2 linked regions of the Arabidopsis thaliana genome follow. The protein of the gene in region 1 interacts with the protein of each later gene in a pairwise test. Each region holds a gene or a part of one and is shown in the gene's direction. Other genes may lie near its edges.

The links.
Region 2: the proteins of DPB (region 1) and CYCB2;3 interact in a two-hybrid assay, tested with the Arabidopsis thaliana proteins (one large-scale study listed by BioGRID).

Annotation. Positions count from the first base shown.
Region 1 is NC_003076.8:840,564-845,972, forward strand, and holds DPB (Transcription factor DP), read left to right. Parts: upstream 1-1,924; 5' UTR 1,925-2,152; intron 2,153-2,246; 5' UTR 2,247-2,278; coding exon 2,279-2,529; intron 2,530-2,904; coding exon 2,905-2,984; intron 2,985-3,122; coding exon 3,123-3,166; intron 3,167-3,387; coding exon 3,388-3,450; intron 3,451-3,543; coding exon 3,544-3,690; intron 3,691-3,772; coding exon 3,773-3,841; intron 3,842-3,940; coding exon 3,941-4,039; intron 4,040-4,139; coding exon 4,140-4,210; intron 4,211-4,303; coding exon 4,304-4,637; 3' UTR 4,638-4,891; downstream 4,892-5,409. Other genes in the region: AT5G03406 (Class II aaRS and biotin synthetases superfamily protein), read left to right, coding at 31-119, 259-388, 508-600, 783-881; AT5G03420 (5'-AMP-activated protein kinase-like protein), read left to right, coding at 5,078-5,238, 5,361-5,409. UniProt on the Arabidopsis thaliana protein: Involved in the regulation of the G1/S transition. Increases the DNA binding activity of E2F proteins after heterodimerization.
Region 2 is NC_003070.9:7,134,112-7,139,605, reverse strand, and holds CYCB2;3 (Cyclin B2;3), read left to right. Parts: upstream 1-1,777; 5' UTR 1,778-2,066; intron 2,067-2,314; 5' UTR 2,315-2,332; coding exon 2,333-2,387; intron 2,388-2,480; coding exon 2,481-2,613; intron 2,614-2,715; coding exon 2,716-2,763; intron 2,764-2,847; coding exon 2,848-2,896; intron 2,897-2,978; coding exon 2,979-3,125; intron 3,126-3,207; coding exon 3,208-3,342; intron 3,343-3,453; coding exon 3,454-3,543; intron 3,544-3,633; coding exon 3,634-3,855; intron 3,856-3,941; coding exon 3,942-4,040; intron 4,041-4,138; coding exon 4,139-4,317; intron 4,318-4,400; coding exon 4,401-4,533; 3' UTR 4,534-4,947; downstream 4,948-5,494. Other genes in the region: AT1G20600 (AP2/B3-like transcriptional factor family protein), read right to left, coding at 5,369-5,440.

The DNA of each region.
Region 1 (5,409 bases):
AGCTTAAACTCTTGCAACCTTGTTGTGTAGCTTTACTGCTTTGAAGATAGGGGTAATCGCCGTGTAGCATTGAGGCCTGAGCTTACACCTTCTTTAGCGAGGCTTGTCATACAGAAAGGGTAACTAATGCAGAATTTTCTCTCAAGCCTTGAGAATTGTCCTTATTCTTCAATGAGCGGTTTATTTATTTTTGTTTGTAAAAATTCTGTATCAGGTAAGGATGTGAGAATGTTGATTCCCATATTCTTTTTGGTCCAGAAAATCTGTTTCCCTTCCATTGAAGTGGTTTGCTGTTGGGCAGTGTTGGAGATATGAGAGAATGACACGAGGAAGGCGACGTGAGCATTACCAGTGGAATATGGATATTATTGGTGTGCCTGAAGTTACAGTATGTATCTCTCATACCTTTAATCACTTTAGGCCTTCTAGTTTTTTGTTATATGAACCTGATCTGTGTTTAAAGTCTCTATAAGCCGGCTAATTTGGTTCACAAACCTTTTCTTTTAGGCTGAAGCAGAACTAATTTCATCTATAATGACATTCTTCAAGCGAATTGGAATCACTGCATCAGATGTGGGTTTTAAGGTTTCAAGCCGCAAGGTATTTTTGCTTACGTTCTCTTTTGATGTGATATGATCATTTTGTTTCTTGGTTTACACTCTAGATACAGAACCAAGTAACTCACTTGCAATGCTAAACATGAGTTGAGATTATTTTGCACGATCTGCAGCATCTGAATATCCACTGTAGCTAACATCTCCCATAACTTCTTCCTTGTACAGGTTTTACAAGAATTTTTAAAAAAGTATGGTGTACCCGAAGACCTGTTTGGAAGAGTTTGCTTCATTATAGACAAGGTTAGCAATCTAAACATCAATTAACAGCTGCTTTGTTGCCAGAATTGGGACAAGAAGTAGAGAACATCGTGTGTGCTTTGGACAAAGATCTCCAAGGAGCTGCAACCACCATTGCAACCGCTCTTAAAGACAAAGGGCAAACCGTTGATTTAGTATTGGAGAGTAAACCGCTGAAATGGGTGTTCAAGAGAGCGGCTCGGGTAAACGCAAGAAGGCCGGTTCTGGTTGGGAAGTTGGTTCGGTCAGTGTCAAGGTTTTGTCTTCAGGTGAGCAATTTCAAGTCAAACTTGATGACTTGGAGTAGTAGTATCTAAGGCTTGAACAAATTGTTCAATTGTCCTTTTTTTCAAAAGCAATTGAGTTGAGATTGGATTTTTATTTTGTCCTCAAAGGTTTCATTAAGAATTTTATTGATGGATCTTCAATACTCGTTTATTCGTCTAATAGTGATTTACAAAATATACTTTTTGACTTCGAATCAGCCACATGTGGCATGTGATTTTTATTTCAAACCGAGAAATGCTAAAAAGAAAAGAAAATGTGCCTTTCGTGAACCTTAAGCTACATTATCACATAATCTTCGGAACTAGAAAAACTCTTTTGCTCCAGTTTTAGTAATGAAAGAGGATGAACATGATATGTTTATATTTCCTAAAAGCTCAAATCTTATCAACACTAGAATGAGTAAATTTCATATAATGAAAATTCATATCGAATGTGATTGACTAGTGGTATCAACCACACATGTTTTTAACTTTTTGACTTGATCATCCATCTACATTATGATGTATCAATGTATGTTTTTTATATTTGTTTTCATGCTTATTAAAGCCATATAAACATATTTTGGTAGATAATTCCAGTATTTAGCCAACAAAAGAAGAAGACGAAGATAATTTTAGTGTTTAGCCAAAATAAAAATAAAAAGATAATTCCAGTATTATATTCTGATTAACAAAAGACCTAAATTTCACTAAAGAGAATTAATCTTTTGGTAAAATAAAAAAAAAGTAAAGAAAATTATCTTCTTTAACTTTTTGTTTTTTTTTCACCTATGAGTCAGTTTGGTCCCTCTCTCTCTCTCTCATTGTGGACATCTTTTCACCATCGCACAAATAACAAGCCTCCCAACCCCGATCGACTTATCCTCCTCCTTCTCCGGCGAAATCCATTAACTCTCCGCCGCGAAAACCACCTTTCCAGAGTAGTATCACACTAAGAATTCTAATGTTGATCCGCCATTATTGAAGCTTCTAATTCTCGTTAATAACCAAAAACCCAAGTCGATTTTCAAGGTCAGTACTCAAAATCTGGGTTTTCGTCAAAATCAGAAACTTTCCTTGACAAATTTTAACAAATCTCTTTCTCGTTTTCTATTGAATTCTCCAGTAGCGCGGTAGTTAGTTTTAGGTGGAAGAAGAATGACAACTACTGGGTCTAATTCTAATCACAACCACCATGAAAGCAATAATAACAACAATAACCCTAGTACTAGGTCTTGGGGCACGGCGGTTTCAGGTCAATCTGTGTCTACTAGCGGCAGTATGGGCTCTCCGTCGAGCCGGAGTGAGCAAACCATCACCGTTGTTACATCTACTAGCGACACTACTTTTCAACGCCTGAATAATTTGGACATTCAAGGTGATGATGCTGGTTCTCAAGGAGCTTCTGGGTATGTAAACCACCTCAATTCTGTGATTTTTATATTAAAAGGCTTTGATGTGTTTATTGTGATGTTTGGTTTAGCGATTTTTAGGGTTTTCATTCTATTGCAATGGCTGCTTTTATGAGCTTAATGAATATATGAAACTGAACCAGTAGATGTAAGTATGATGTGTGGATCATACTTTTACAAGCTTGAATTTGGCTCTCCTGATATGTATTAGTCTAAAATCTACTAATAATCTGCATATTTGAATACTCATCTTTCCTATCCTTATTGGGACAAAAGATACTGTTTAGGCCATTGTCTTTGTGCGTTAATTTTTGTGTGGAAGTTGTTACATGTGTTCTGTGTAGTTTAGTTGATCATATAATCTATTTACAGTGTTAAGAAGAAGAAGAGGGGACAGCGTGCGGCTGGTCCAGATAAGACTGGAAGAGGACTACGTCAATTTAGTATGAAAGGTCTTATCTCTTTCTCTGCCCCTATTATGCTTTCATCTAAATGCCTTTCAAGTTTCTAGCTATGAATTGTGTGGATAATGCCTCTTAAGATTGGTTATACATTTAACTGATATTATGTTCGTCTGGCCTTCCTTTCAGTTTGTGAAAAGGTGGAAAGCAAAGGAAGGACAACTTACAATGAGGTACGGTAGTTTCCTTTTTAAACAAAAAGCTTCACAGTATTTATGCTTTGCAAGATCCATTCACTTCTGTTTATGTTATATGATGATACTGATTTATTGTGCTTACCAGTGTGATTAAACACTTGTCAAGATCACATATGGGAATATCAATTTGTCTCATGATTAGTACTGCAAACGTGTAGCTCTGTAATACGGTATCTAACAGGTGATAGTACTTTCAGGTTGCAGACGAGCTTGTTGCTGAATTTGCACTTCCAAATAACGATGGAACATCCCCTGATCAGGTATGCGTTTCTTCGATAGTTTCTACCCTGGAACGTGTGCAATACTCGTTGTGAACTCTGATGAAATTATATCATGTGAAAACGTTTTACCAGCAACAGTATGATGAGAAAAACATAAGACGAAGAGTATATGATGCTTTAAACGTCCTCATGGCTATGGATATAATATCCAAGGATAAAAAAGAAATTCAATGGAGAGGTCTTCCTCGGACAAGCTTAAGCGACATTGAAGAATTAAAGGTTTCAACCACATATTCTATGTGCAGATGTTCCATAGCTTGTTTAGAGAATTTTCCTGAATTTGAATTATTTTGTTTTGCAGAACGAACGACTCTCACTTAGGAACAGAATTGAGAAGAAAACTGCATATTCCCAAGAACTGGAAGAACAAGTAATGAACATCATCGATACTCTCGGCTTATCTGCTTCCTGTTACTTTTATCATAGATTCTTACATGGTCCTTCTATCATCTCTGTGTATGTCTGAAAGTATGTAGGCCTTCAGAATCTGATACAGAGAAATGAGCACTTATATAGCTCAGGAAATGCTCCCAGTGGCGGTGTTGCTCTTCCTTTTATCCTTGTCCAGGTAAACTTCACCAACAGCTTCGTATGATCTTAGATTGATCCACAAGGAAACCTCAGAAAAATGAAAAAATCACCTGATTGTTGTTGTTTCTCTGCACCAGACTCGTCCTCACGCAACAGTAGAAGTGGAGATATCAGAAGATATGCAGCTCGTGCATTTTGATTTCAACAGGTAAAATCCAAACACCAGATTTGATCTCTTTTCAGCTAATATATCTATGGAACCGATTACTGACACTGTGACAACTGTTTTCACTATTTGCAGCACTCCATTTGAGCTCCACGACGACAATTTTGTCCTCAAGACTATGAAGTTTTGTGATCAACCGCCGCAACAACCAAACGGTCGGAACAACAGCCAGCTGGTTTGTCACAATTTCACGCCAGAAAACCCTAACAAAGGCCCCAGCACAGGTCCAACACCGCAGCTGGATATGTACGAGACTCATCTTCAATCGCAACAACATCAGCAGCATTCTCAGCTACAAATCATTCCTATGCCTGAGACTAACAACGTTACTTCCAGCGCTGATACTGCTCCAGTGAAATCCCCGTCTCTTCCAGGGATAATGAACTCCAGCATGAAGCCGGAGAATTGAAACACGTATGAAGGCCCCTTGTACAATTTCTGTAAAACTGTAAAGTAGCTCTTGAAAAACTTTACCTGGTTTTTTGACGAATAGTCTGTTTAGCGGTAAATGTACCGGTGGTTTATCGAATCTAGGATCCTTGTCGGGTTTAGCGATTTTAAGAATCTTTGCCATAGGAAAAAAAAAACACTTTGCTCTGTGGTGTAGAAATGAATTTTATTAACCATTTGGATTAGTCCATGTTCGGTTCTGTTATTCGGAAACCCGGTTATGGACTTCAATTTTGGAAATTACGAAACTGAACTAATCGATTTCCGGTTTTGTTGAACCGAAATCCGGTTAAAATATTACCATATCAATCATATCATTAGAAATGTAGTTCTGTTTCATGTAATTCGGTCTGAATGTTAATAAATGCTGGGAACATCGGAGCTTGAGAAAGTCCGGCCATGGCGACGATTTCTCAGATACCTTTCTCTATCTCCTTCCCTTGTTTCGAATTTCGGAAACCATCGTTCTACTATCATCAGCCTCAACTTTTTGTTTCGTACTTGAATTCCACGAAGAAGCATAGTTTTATCTGTTTCGCATGTTCCACCAAACAAACCAGGTTCGAAATTTCTCGTCGTTTTTTTTTTTGGTTTTTGCTTCGATCTGTGGAAAATTGGAGACAGCAGACGTACTTCAATTATTGTTTTGGTTAATTGGTCTGCTTGAATTGAATTTGAACAGAGTTCGTAAGAGAGTGAAGAGCAATGAGGAGCTTCGGAGTGAGATTATG
Region 2 (5,494 bases), on another chromosome or scaffold:
TATCTATTATCTAAGATACTAATGGGCTCTAGTCTGGTGGGTAAGTTTTGGGCCAACCTGTAATGGAAAAAAAAACAGTTGTATTCATTAAACGGATATTAATTACAAGAGACTGAGAACTTATGCAACCTAAAAGATATACATGTCAATTTAAATGCCAATAACAAAAATCTGAAACAAGAACTTATAGAATGATCTCAAACTTAACCTAATGGCATATCATATTTATTTAATGTATCTATATCAATGGAAACAAAATGCTATTGTTGTGTTTCTACATAGAAACGCAATGTTCACACTTCTACACAAATGACTTGATTGATTTAAAAGTGATTGATAGTAAATGCAGTATATCAATGCCATTATCATGTAAACAACTCTATATATCTTTTTCCCATAAAAATATAGTACGATATTCTAATGATACACTTGAAGAAGGTCTAAACTTTGTGTGAGATTTCTTACTCGAAAAAGAAAATCATTTAACTTGAGATTAATATAAATGTATTTGATTTCTTAAACGAGTCTTGGTTTTTGGTCAAAGGTGATGTATTTGATTTTTTAAATAATAGTATTTTATTTGTTATTATAGAAATGTATATTATATAGTGTAATTTTCGAAAATAAAATAAAAATAGTTGTCTTTCCCAAAATAAAAAAGGGAAGGGTATTATCATTCTTACTCGGAAGAATCGAAAATTAAGTCCATTTTTTTCTACTGTTTATCTTACACTATTTTTGTGGCAAATACAATAATACCTCTATATTATATAACTATTCTTATTGCCATACCACTGTACCTGTGAAGATTACGACAATGATAGTTTTTGTTCAGATTCAGTTCAAATTGGTTAACAATCAAATTACCGAGTTAACTAATACTTTATCTAGAGGTAGTGACAATAATAATCTTATTGGATGAAATTCATATTTTGCACGTTATAGTAACTCGTTAATTTTTTTATATGATATAATAAATGAGTTAAGACGGTAAATATAAATATATCACATAAGTTATAACTTATTGCGATTCAAAATGACTTAGCATGACATAATTATAAATTTATTGATATAAATATTTTGTTATCATGTTAACCTAATAAATATTACCGAGATATTTGTTATTGAAAACAAAAAAAACCCAAAGAATTTGAATAAGTACACATACACATGGATGAAAAACAATGATAGCCGTTGAACATAAGGCAACTTTCGATTTGGAACACGTGGCATTAATCCAACAGCTGATATGAACTAGGCAACTAGCTGTTAATTTTAAAGATATTATACAGACAATATATCCGCTCTTCTAGTCTTCAAAATCTCTATTATTCTTTATTTTTTCTTTTTTTCTTTGCCCTTGTAGTATAATATTCTAATGATACACTTGAAGAAAATCTAAACTTTGTGTGAGATTTCTTGCTTGAAAAAGAAAATCATTTAACTTGAGATTAATATAAACGAATCTTGGTCTTTGGTCAAAGGAGACATATTTGATTCTTTTAAATAGAAGTGTTTTATTTGTTTTTATAGAAATGAATATTATTTCATGGTGTAATTTTCAAAAATAAAATAAAAATAGTTGTCTTCCCCAAAATAGAATAAAAGAAAAAAAAATCAAAGAATTTGAATAAATCTATACATAGATGATATACAATTATAACCGTTGAATAGAAGACAACTTTCGATCTGGAACACGTGGCGTTGATCCAACGGCTGAGATGAACTAGCCGTTAATTTTAAAGAAAACTAATACACTATAGACGCTCTTCTAATCTTCAAAATCAATCTTACTCTTTTTTTTTTCTTTTTTTCTTTACCCTTATAAAGAGAGATAGAGAGAGAGTGGGAAGTATCTTCAAAACCGAAGCCATTAGAGAGAAAGAGAGCGTGGTTGAATCTTTGGGTTTTACTAAAAGATCTCTCTTTCTCTCCTTTGTTTGATCAACTTGGATCCAACGGGATAAAAGACTATTAGGGTTTAGGAGATTCACTGGGTTTCATAAGAATTTATGATCAAGGGTCGACTTAATCTCGCGTTGGTTCTTTGAATTGACTGTGAAAAGGTGATTTTTTTGAAAAACCAATTCGTGGGTTTTCGTTATCTTCTGGGTATTTGAGATTTAGGTCTTTGTTGTTCTTGATTGGGTCTTTCATTGAGATTATTAAACCGGATCTATAGGGTTTTGATTGTCAAGACTGTTTTTTTAGTTTCAATTTTGAAAACCCCTGCTTTTAAGTTGGGGGATGTTTCGATTTTGAAATTTGATTTCTTCAAGAGAAGAGATTTAATGAAAATAAATAACTTCCGCAGATAACGAAGAAGAAGAAAATGGTTAGATCAGATGAAAATAGCCTTGGATTAATCGGATCAATGAGTCTCCAAGGTACCCTAAATCGATCGATTTTGTTATTAAAAATCAAAACTTTCGTTCTCTTTGATTTTTCCCCCAAATTGATTTTGAATTTACTTGATGTAGGGGGAGGAGTAGTAGGAAAGATCAAGACGACGGCAACAACAGGACCGACAAGAAGAGCACTAAGTACTATTAACAAGAACATCACTGAAGCGCCGTCTTACCCTTATGCTGTCAACAAGAGATCAGTTTCTGAGTAAGTTCACTTTAATCCTCAGATTCAAGATTAGTGTTTTTTTTTTCTTCTCCCTTTGATTAGACTCTTATAGGAACCCTATTTCTTTCTGTGACTTTGCAGAAGAGATGGCATTTGTAATAAACCACCTGTGCATCGACCAGTTACTAGGTAAGCATAGATCTTTACTCTTGTCTACTTTGAGTATCTCACATTGTCTGATTACTTAACTTTTACTACTCTCTGTTGGTTCAGGAAGTTTGCTGCTCAGTTAGCAGATCATAAGCCACATATCCGTGATGAGGTACCCTATTGTTCAATGTATGTTTCATTTAGAGCAATGATGATATAGACCGGATTTTAAAGTTCTGATCTTTAACTCTTAGGAAACTAAGAAACCAGACTCAGTTTCAAGTGAAGAACCAGAGACGATTATCATTGATGTGGATGAAAGTGATAAAGAAGGAGGTGACTCTAATGAGCCAATGTTTGTACAACATACTGAAGCAATGCTGGAGGAGATTGAACAGATGGTATACATATTTCCTAACCATTCTTTGCTTTGTTTATGGAAGTGTTAATATAGTTACTCATATTGTTTGTGTCTTTCAAAAGGAGAAGGAGATTGAAATGGAAGATGCAGACAAAGAAGAAGAGCCTGTGATCGATATTGATGCCTGTGATAAGAATAATCCTTTGGCTGCGGTTGAATATATCCATGATATGCATACCTTCTACAAGAATTTTGAGGTGAATTTGTCTTGTTTCACATCAACTTTTGCTTTTGTGTTCTTTATCATCGAAAGGATTGTAGTTTCAAAATCTTGTACTTATGTTTGATTCATTCTTATGATTCTGCAGAAACTTAGTTGCGTGCCTCCTAACTATATGGACAATCAACAAGATCTTAATGAGAGAATGAGAGGAATCCTCATTGACTGGTTAATTGAGGTAGACAGATCTAGACAAAAGCTATTTAATGCCACTTTTTTTGTCTCAATGTGCCTGAAGATAAATTGACTGGAAAATTATCTTGTCCAGGTGCACTACAAGTTTGAACTGATGGAGGAAACTCTTTATCTCACAATCAATGTCATCGACAGATTCCTTGCGGTTCATCAAATCGTGAGGAAAAAGCTTCAGCTTGTTGGTGTTACTGCTTTGTTGCTTGCATGTAAATATGAAGAAGTTTCAGTTCCAGTGGTAGATGATCTCATCTTGATCTCTGACAAAGCTTACTCTAGAAGAGAAGTGCTAGATATGGTGAATACACAACTTTGTCTTGATCATTAACTACCACTGGTTGATGCTTCATAGTTGAATTTACCTGTTTTTGGTTTCTATTGCAGGAGAAGCTAATGGCCAACACCTTGCAATTCAATTTCTCTCTACCAACTCCATATGTTTTCATGAAACGATTTCTCAAAGCTGCCCAATCTGACAAGAAGGTATATATCTCCCTAACTAAAAAAGCTTGAATCATTATATCCGGAAACCATCAGGCCTAATATCTAAATCGGTGTGGTATATGCAATTGTGGTTTCAGCTTGAGATTTTATCATTCTTTATGATCGAGCTTTGCCTTGTGGAGTATGAGATGCTAGAGTATCTTCCATCTAAGCTGGCGGCCTCAGCAATCTACACTGCTCAGTGTACACTTAAGGGATTTGAAGAATGGAGCAAAACCTGTGAGTTTCACACAGGCTACAACGAAAAACAGCTACTGTAAGAACATACATTGATTTTTTTGAAAACCCCATGACATGAGATTTTGGTATCCTGACAGTGGGTTTTTGTGTTTTTTCTAGGGCATGTGCGAGAAAGATGGTTGCTTTCCATCACAAGGCAGGAACAGGGAAGCTCACAGGAGTTCACAGAAAGTACAACACATCTAAGTTCTGTCATGCTGCAAGAACTGAACCAGCTGGGTTTCTGATTTAATATTAATAAGAATCTAATATGACTTAACTCGAGTTTTTCTTTAGAACAAAAAGAGTGTGAGAGAAAGAGAGATAGTAGAGCAAGTTGCCCAAAATGGGAGAAGAATGGATCTTTAGATATCATGGCAAGTAGCCCAAAAAGAGTGTATTCTTCTCTTTCTAAGGTCTTTAGATCTTTCTTCACTTGAGAGAGAATAAAAAGAATCTTCTGATATCATGCTTTCCTATATTCAACTTGTGAATCGATTCTTGTATAGACTCAGGAAAATCTATGATCCAGTTTGGTTAATATTACTCGGGAGCTGAACCTCTAGACTGAATCAAATATTCTTCTACATGTCGTTTTGGTACTCTGGAACTGAATCTCTAGACCCTATCAAATATTCTACAAGTACATGGCAATTTTTTGGATTGTAATTTGGGAAAATTGCAGTTGACAAGGTTTTTACATGATGAAAATACAAGTACAATATTCTTTTATAGCTTATATATTAATGTTATAAATGACCATATAGACTACGTTATTTAGACAACTCAAAGTCTACAGTATTGCAGTCTTTATTGAAGGAGGATATAATCATTACTTCTAGTATTTCATAATCTTGTTCCTTCAATTTATCTTTGTTTTCTGATCTTAGTCTTATTAAGACCTTTATGAAAACAATGTACTTTGTTTTACTCATCTACTGTCAGAAATGGAGAATGCGCAAAGAAGAAAATAGATCACAACGAAAACTTGTCAATGATTCAAACATCTTGGTAACCCAAAATACAGAACTAGTAGTGCATCTGGACATATCTCTCTTGTTCTCCTTTGTTTGGTTTTACAGTGTTCTCTAAGAAGTGTTGCAGCACCTGACTTTGCTGCCTCGAATGAAGACATGCTCAAGCTGTGATACCTTACCATCCTGTAACATAGCAATGAAAAACCGAAAACAAAAGTTAAGTGACAATTATTAATA